Arabidopsis thaliana: one gene and its partner. The protein of the gene in region 1 interacts with the protein of each later gene in a biochemical or structural test. Each region holds a gene or a part of one and is shown on either strand. Other genes may lie near its edges.

Evidence for each region.
Region 2: the proteins of AT4G18520 (region 1) and MORF9 form a complex in vitro, tested with the Arabidopsis thaliana proteins (one study listed by BioGRID).

Annotation. Positions count from the first base shown.
Region 1 is NC_003075.7:10,214,465-10,219,036, forward strand, and holds AT4G18520 (Pentatricopeptide repeat (PPR) superfamily protein), read right to left. Parts: upstream 2,751-4,572; 5' UTR 2,640-2,750; coding exon 786-2,639; 3' UTR 632-785; downstream 1-631. Other genes in the region: AT4G18530 (lysine ketoglutarate reductase trans-splicing-like protein, putative (DUF707)), read left to right, coding at 3,285-3,293, 3,694-3,798, 4,016-4,099, 4,182-4,286, 4,380-4,463, 4,548-4,572. UniProt on the Arabidopsis thaliana protein: Required for proper chloroplast development. Involved in the regulation of plastid gene expression probably through regulation of plastid-encoded polymerase (PEP) dependent chloroplast transcription.
Region 2 is NC_003070.9:3,845,468-3,850,002, reverse strand, and holds MORF9 (plastid developmental protein DAG), read right to left. Parts: upstream 2,784-4,535; 5' UTR 2,731-2,783; coding exon 2,369-2,730; intron 1,593-2,368; coding exon 1,495-1,592; intron 1,398-1,494; coding exon 1,332-1,397; intron 1,238-1,331; coding exon 1,065-1,237; 3' UTR 779-1,064; downstream 1-778. Other genes in the region: AT1G11440 (uncharacterized protein), read right to left, coding at 1-585; DUF2 (agenet domain protein (DOMAIN OF UNKNOWN FUNCTION 724 2)), read left to right, coding at 3,131-3,565, 3,658-4,059, 4,165-4,251, 4,341-4,460, 4,528-4,535.

The DNA of each region.
Region 1 (4,572 bases):
TATAAAATTTTCGTCTATTAACCAGTATAGATACGTATCGAAATAGTCATTAATCAACACAAATTCAAAGGGTCTTATCCAGGCACTTAAGATTATCTAAGCATTATATAAGATGGAAAGAATAAGCTTTAATTACGATGAGAATATAAAACCATCAAAAGGCCATAAACTTGGAAGCAGCAACTCGGTTCATTGTGCCAAAGTGGGGACCTATAGTGTGCATTCTGATTCAAGAAAGAGATGATCATGACCTCAATTGAAATTGTAAATCATTTTTAAAAAAAGTAAAGGGACTTCATATAGTCTATATATAGCATATTTTTATCATTAAAAATGTTTGTTTAAAGATTCAACTTAGAAATTTGATTAAATACTAGTATTACTTAACTAGTGCGTTCAAATTATTAGTAAACAAGATCCAACCTTACAAAAAAAAATCACACTTTATTGGCACCTCAACTGAATCTTTTATTTTAGTCGTCAAAGAAAAAAAATGGATTCATTCAAGCTGTAAATGGAAATGTGTCACTAAGGCCCATAAATCTATTTTGAAAAAGCCCATTAAAACTAGGTTCTTAAGTCTTAAATTGAAATATATCAATCTACTTTTTTCTTAATAGATATAATTGGTCATCATTAAAATTCTTGCATTGGCTAATTGCAAAGAAGAAATATTCGACATGAAATTTGTACATTTGGTGCTATTGTGGAACGCATCTTTTTTTTCATAAACTTTATCATATAAGAAAGAACTTGAAAAAAAAAGAGATTCTAAAGAAGAAAGATCAAGATGTCTCCAAGTAACAAGTTGCAGAAGATTCAACAGCTTCATCGAGCTCAATATCTCCACAAGTAGAGAGAATTGTTGCAAATATATAATCATCAACTTCAAATCCCTCTGCCTCCATTCTATACATTAGCTTCAATGCTTCCCTGCAAAACCCATTCCTCGCATAACCCATTATCATCGCCTTCCATGAAACCAAGTTCTTCTCAGGCATACTGTCAAAAACCCGAAAAGCTTCCGAGACAAATCCACATTTTGCATACATGTGAATCAAAGCACTTCCCACAAAGACATTTGATAGAGCATGATTCTTCTTTGCAATGGAATGGATTGATCTACCGATAAGAAGAGATTCTGAATTCGCACAAGCTTTTAAAGCCGAGGAGTATGTAAATGGGTTTGGCTCTACACCTTCTTGAATCATCTCTTTCAAGAAGTCTAGCGCTTCCGATTCATGTCCTAAGCTCGAACATCCAGAGATCATAGCGGTCCATGAAACCACATCTCTAGATGGCAATTGCTGGAGAACATTGAAAGCGTCACGAGATTCTCCGCATTTACAATACAGCCACACCAAAGTACTTCCTATATAGACATTCTTTTCGATCGAATTCTTGATAATCTGTGCATGAAGTTCCTTCCCCAACAATAAAGCTCCAACAGATCCACACGCTCTAAGAATGCTTACTACTGTCAAATTGTTAGCAATCAAATGCCGCCTCTTCATTATCCGGAAGAGGCTGATAGCTTCCTCACCAAAACCTTCCCGAGCATGAGCAGCTATAATCGAAGTCCATGTGACCGTGTTTCTATTACTCATTCCATCAAACACTTTTCTGCAATCAGAAATCTCCCCACACTTAGCATACATGTCCATCAGCGAAGTTCCCACAAAAACATCTGTCTTTATCATCCTCTTAACAACCAAGCTGTGTACTTGCCTTCCGAATCTTAACGCTTTCTCCTCACTACAAGCCTTCAAAATACTGCACACCGTAAACTCGTTAGGCAAAAACCAGTGATTCAACATTCCGATAAACATGCCTATAGCTTTAATTCCATGCCCTTTTCTCGAACACGCCGATATAACAGCAGTCCAAGATATCACATCTTTCTCCTCCATCATATCAAAAGCTCGTAACGCACTTGTCAATTCACCGCATTGCGCATAAAAATAAACAAGAGAACTCTCCACAATGAGATTCCCCACTCCAACTTTCACCATATTACCATGAACTTGTCTCCCTAACTCAAACTCTGCTCTCCTACTACACAGATTCAACAAACACACAAACATCCTCTCGTTCGTAAAACGTATTCCATGCTTCACATAATCCTCAAACAGTGCAAAAGCCTCATCCTCAAGACCATACTTCAAATACCCATCAATCATAGCAGTCCAAGTAACAGTATTTTTCTCAGGCATACTGTCGAACACTTTACGTGCATAAACCAAATCACCAAGTCTAACACAAGAACTAATCAAATTGTTCCCAAAATAGATAACTTGATCATCAAAACACTTCAACGCCATCGCATGGATCCTTTTAATGAGTCGCATCCCATTAGAAGACTGTAGCCACTCCGCTAACAGAGCATAATCAACTCTTTCGCTATCGAAAGAAGACGAATCATCCTGATTCACATTCTCTCCTTTGAAACCACTAAAACCCGAATCGAAAGATGCTCTCTTTCCAGAAACTAATCGAAACCCAGGTAATCTCACGTGTCTCTGTTCCTCTCGCTTAGTTCTTGAATCGCTACTGTAACATATCGTCGGAGATTTGTAGGATTGAGTCACCGGAATCTCTGAAATCCGGAGACGCGGTTGGATTAACGATAACGAAAACATTGTCGGCGATGGAGAAAGAGAAGAAGCTTCACACAGAGATCTCCCGCCGGAAAAAAAATCAGATAAAGTTCTCTTTTTTATTTATTTTGGTAAAGAGAATTAAAAGTTTATAATCTGATCTGGTAATTATGACGACAACAAATAATATCTCGGTCGGTTTCAAATTCCTAAGCGAGAGACAAATATACAGTACACACACGACTTAATATCAAAACCAATAAACGTAAAACACGTGTCTCATCACTTCCCACTTTCCTCTCTGCATTTGTTGTCTCTCTCTCCTGAAAACCCTTGAATTTTGCTACACGATCTCTGAAACGTGTCTCTTTGACTGACTTCAATCTTCTTTATCACTTACCGTTTCTGGGTTTTATGAAGCAACTGAGCTAATAAAAAGCTTCTTCTTAGACTCGGAAGAAGATAAAAAACAGAATCTTTATTGTTTAAAGCTTCCAAATTCGAGAAGAGAATTTGAAACGACCAAGTTCAGGATATTCGTTTCTTCGTCTACTTTGGTCTCTTCCTCTTCTCTTTCGAAAAGGGTTTATTCTGTCTTAAAAGAAACCTTTTTGAGAGGGTAAAAAAAGCTTCAATTTTCAGAGAAACACAAAAGGCAGAAACAGAGAAAAACAAATCATCTAATTCATGAAACAGGTGAGAATACATATTTTCTTCTTCCTTGGTCTCTTCTTTTTTTATTGATTTCATTCATATATCCAATTTTTGTGTCTATTGGCTGTTTAATTGTTGACGATGATGAATTCAGTTAGATAATTATGTGCATAGTTTAGGAATTTTTTAGCTATATCTTCTTCTCATGTGTAAACATAGAGGAAAATCTAAAAAAAATATCTGTCAAATTATTGTCTTTTCCAAATTGTCCTCATTGTCCTATTGAATCAAATAAGATTTTTTATTACTGATGATTCAAATATTGTTAATAGTTTATAACCTTGCTCAGTGTTCTTCTGATGTGTGATTTAAAACCTCTTGTCTCTAGGCTCTGATCTATGTTTTCGTCTCAAAGTCTTATTATCAATTCTCTAAATTGCAGGGTTCAATGAATAGATCGTGTCTCTGTAGTGTCTTAATCACCACTGCTCTGATTTGTGGTGCTTACTTCATTTGCAATGCTTATCTTGCTAAAGACTTTAAAGAGGTAAACTTCTTTGTATTTGGCATCACTTAAGATCTATATGTGTTCTATGATACTGTCATTTTGGTTAAATTGTTCAGCTGTCTTTTTGTGTAATCAGTAGTGTTTTTTTCCGACATGTAAATAACATGACATTGTTGAATAATTCTGGTTTTATAGTCAACATTAGAACAATAAGTTTAGATTTCTGAATTTGATGTATAAGATTATAAATCTGCAGAAGTTGCTGAAGTGGGAAATCACTGATAAGATGCATAACAGTACTGATAAGATGCAGAATGCAACAACAACCAGTACATGCAAGGTTTGTCTTTGAAATATTCTTTGAGGTTTGTTTTATGAGATTCTTTGATATTAAACTTACAAATATATATATCTTTCACTAGAATTTCAATAAGCCAGTGGGTACTGAAGCACTACCGCAAGGAATTATCGAGAAAACATCGAACCTGGAAACACAACATCTATGGAACTACGATGACACAAAAAAGGTTATTTAGTAGTTACATGATTCCTCAAAGATTTGGAAAGTTTCATTGCTTTTTTTTCGTGTAGCTTAATCTTTTGCTGTATATTTCTTTCAGAGAAGGCCTAACCATTCGATGAGTTTGTTAGCCATGGCGGTCGGTATCAAGCAAAAGGAGCTAGTTAACAAAGTTATCCAAAAGGTTTTGTTTTCTCATTTGATTGTTTCTATCAGCAAGATTTTCGTCTTTTATTTCGATTAGTTATACAAATTGCTGTGACTTCAGTTTCCTCCTCGAGATTTCGCGGTCA
Region 2 (4,535 bases), on another chromosome or scaffold:
CTTGACAACATTCTTTTGACCACCATCATAAATTCCAAGAGGAACAGGAGCAATAATCTCAGGAGGAGAGGGAGCTTTAGCGTGAGGAGCGGTTGAACAAGGGTAACAAGTTTCCACCGATGGAGGAAGAGGTTTTCCATAGGTTGCAACAACATCGTAGCCACCACCGTACGGCGTGGGATCGTATTCATCGAATTCCGGCTCGTTGAAGTCAAGAGCAGAGGCTACAGAGCAATAGATACTAAACTGAGGAGGAGATTCGTAGGTTGTATAGAGATTCGGATCATAGAACAAGTGTTTAGGCTCAGACATGGTAGAAACAGAGTAAGCAACATATGCAGAGGTTGTCTCAGACTCGGATCCATTCCAGTTATAACAATTATAACTCATTGGATCATCATAACCAGAGTAAGCAACATATTCAGATTCAGATTCAGATTCATTCCAGTTGTAATAATTATAACTCATTGGTTCGAAACCAAGCTGCTGCTGCTGTTGATTGTAATGATAATGATTTTGATCGTAGAGATTATTAACCTGATTGTAATCGTAAGGACTCTGGTAATTCTCATAGAAGTTGGCCATTTGAGAGAGCTTGAAGGATGATCTTGAAAGTCTTTCTCTGCGGTTGATGAGAGAAAACGATTCAGCTGAGCAGTGATCTGTCGATTAAACTAATTTGGAATGTTTGGTTCCAAGTCCGTGAGAGAGTAGTGTATTATTTCCATGTGATGTGTTGATAAGGTAGGGACGACTGATGTAGATGGTGAGTTGGTGACGAGTGTGTGACCCTACAATTGTTTTGTCTTGTCTGAAATTGGTGTTGAGAAAACGTGGGGAAAAAGCAGTGGTTGACAAAGAATCAAACCAAACCAAAACCGAACATTACCTAAATAAACAAATGGTTCAAGTTGAATTTCATCCTAACATAACAATAGCTATTGTTCAAGGTGTGATGATACAGTATCATCATTTGGTACTAGACGATTTTACACACGACTTCAACAAGCTAAGTGCTAACCAAAAGATCAAAACTTGCAAACACTCCATTATCTTATTATAGTTTAAGAGGAATCAGAGGCTGCTGGTTCTTGTCTTGGTTTCCTCTGTTCAGGAGGTGGAGGACCGTCTCTTTTTCTTTCGTATCTCTTACTTTGATACTTAGTGTTATTGCGCTGCTTTGGTTGGTATGTTGGGTATGTGCACGGGATAATCTCTCCATTGATGTACTTGTCGCCTAAACCCGAGAAAGAACGATTCAATTATCAGAACATGGATACTGGGAGAGAGAGAGATCCTAGAAAGTTTAAAATCAGGCTTTGATGGGTTACCTCCATAGTCTTTGTTCTTGACATCTATGTAGGAGTCAGGCAAGACCCAGAGAACTCCAGGCAAACCTGTGAAAATAATGAAAAGACAGAACGATCAGTATCTTGAAGGTTTTCGACGAACTTTCAATAAGGGGACTAAGGCTCTTCTTGCTCACTAACTAACCCTTGAACTTCTCAGATGTTTCTTCGTCGATGGTGCATTGGAATCCAGTATATGTCGTGGTACTGAATGCATACATGTTCTTCTTCGCCTCTTCCATGCTGGAAAATAGACACAAGTACATATAATAAGCAAACACGATGAACTGGTTATGCTGGAAAATGGACACAAGTACATTAATTGGTTATCACATCAGCAGGATAGTGTAAACCGGAATCAAAGTTCTCTAAAATAGAGAGTAGCACCAAATAAACTAAAGTTTTAGTCATTAGTTGTGTAACACAAACTCGTTCCCTGCCATACCAAGAAATTTCTAGTCAGGAGTCCCAATCTAATGCTCTGCACAATTGTACACTCCTTTTACATACATTACTAGCTTACACTGTCCACATCAAGTTTTTAACAAACAGAAACCATGCACAATCACCTACAATTTATACATAGCTTGAAGAAAATATGCAAAAATAGATGCTTCTATTCTTCCCCCTAATTTCATTCATAATTACGCTAAAGAGCACAAAGTTTTAGATATCAAATCAGACACCAATGTTTTGTGTTCAATATGCAGCAATGTTCAATAAGTTTGCACATATCAAGAGACGAAAAACAAGTCAGCTAAAGATTACACCTGATATTAAGAACAAATTCTGGAACTAGGTCAACTTCAGAGCAAATTTAAAGCTGAAAGCTTTACTCAGCTCACTAAACCCTTACCCTAAAGTATCATCAAAAACCCTAATCTAACAAAAAACCAAATCTTCCTATACGCAACATTGGATTCAATCAAAGGACAAGTCCATTAGCAACACAAGTAAATGTCGTCTATTAGTTAACTAATTCAACAACGAAGAGAATCAATAAGAAAGCGAAAACGAACCTGCCAAGAACAGTAGCAAGAGTGTTAAGGTAAGTATCAATCATCTGATCCCTACTTGGCGCTGGATCTTTAGGAAACTCCATTACAATGAGCCAATGATTGTAATCGCAACCAGGAAGCATAATCGTCTCTCTCTGCTCATTGCTATTGCTCCGTTTCGACGAGTAATCCGAATCCACCGTCGCAGCTTTCACAATCGCCACTCGACGCCGAGACCCAGCGGTGGAGATGTTCCGGAGCAGAGGAGTCCATGAATCGCCAACGCGGATACCAGAGAGTGTAGAGAAACGATTCAGGTGGCTTACGGGGAGAAGAGTTTTGAGGAGAAGCGAGGAAGAAGAAGTTGTTGTGAAGGAAGCCATTGCAATTGCTGAAATCGAAGAGAGAGTTTTGGAGAAGATAAGATATATTTTTACTTACCTGCTTCGTGATGAGGATCCTATGAAACGACACCGTTTTTAATTAGGCCCATTAGATAGTTTGGGCCTGATAATTTCTTAAATCATTTTCTCATAATTTCAAGCGCCAAAAAAAAAGAAAAGTAAATTGGGAAAGAAAAAAAGAAAACACACTTTCCCCGATGTGTATCGTGAATATCGACACTAAGCACAGACACAGTAGCACTGTGTTTTGGTTGCAAAAAGTCTCCTTCATATAATCATATCTATGGTTTTCGGGTTTCAGCAGAAAAGTCTTTTTTTAGATTTAGGGTTAGCAGAGCAAAAATGAGCCGTTATTAGTTTTCATTCAAGGGTTTTTGAGATGGAGCAGATGATATTCATTAGAAAAGACGACAAAGTAGAAGTTTTTTCTGAAGAAGAAGAGTTAAAAGGGTCTTATTACAGAGCGATTCTGGAAGATAATCCAACGAAATCAGGACACAATAAGCTTAAAGTTCGTTACTTGACGCAGCTCAATGAACACCGTTTGGCTCCTTTAACGGAATTCGTCGATCAGAGGTTCATTCGTCCTGTCCCGTCGGAGGATGTGAACGACGGCGTCGTTTTTGTAGAAGGCTTGATGGTCGACGCTTATCTCAAAGATGGGTGGTGGACTGGTGTGGTGGTAAAAACAATGGAGGATGAGAAGTTTTTGGTTTACTTCGATTGCCCACCAGACATTATTCAGTTTGAGAAAAAGAAATTGAGGGTTCATCTTGATTGGACCGGCTTCAAATGGATCCGACCTGATAATAAGGTATGATGAGTTTTTTTTGAAATCGTTTCGCCTTTGCATGAAAAAGTTGTTAACTTTATCCGTTGTTGTATGTTTGTTTTTTGTCTTTGAAGGAATTGGTCAAGTCTGTTTTTAGTTGCGGGACAATGGTGGAATTGAGATTTGATTGTGCTTGGATTCCGGTAATTGTCATTAAGGAGTTGGAGAAGGACAAGAGGTTTCTTGTCAAGTACTGGAATAAGTCCTATAGCTGCCGGGAATCGAAAAATTTAATTGTTGATTCCCTAAGACTAAGGCCTATGCAGCCTCCTTTATCTGTTGGAAAGTATGAATTGCTGGATCATGTAGAGGCGTTTAGTGGTTTTGAATGGCGTCAAGGTGTGGTCAGGGGAATTGTCTTTGAGGGAAGGTACATGGTAAGTTTCGGGGCAACAAAGGAGGCATCGCAATTTAATCACTCTGATATTAGGCCTCCAATGGAGTGGGAAGATGGAGTTTGGCATAAAAGAACAAAGGTAAATTGTATCACTAGTTGCAGGCAACATTGTGTTGGTTTGGTTTAATTAGTGTGACATCTTTGAGGATTAATTGAAGTGTTGTTATGTTATTTCCATTTTCAGCCAAAACGCCAGAAAGAAACTTCTTTAGACGGCAACAGAAATGTGCAGACAAAGGAACCACCGGGAAATGAGATGGCTGATGATGTGGTATATGGTCATAACCCTGCTAGTGGATTCTTTTATAACCTTGTTTGTTTTCTACGCCCTGAAATTGTTCTATGGTCTTTGTTTTCCAGAAAAAAGAATCTGGTTTACCTATAACCCTGGGGGTAACTGCAACAAAGAACAAAACCCAAGGAAAGGTATCCCCTGTGCCAATGAAGAATGGCTTTGGAAATGAGTCAACTCGAGAGAAGGTATTGTTTATGATTGTTATTTATCTTTGAGATGGCTCTCCTTTTGGTTTAACACTTCTATGCACAGATGCCTGA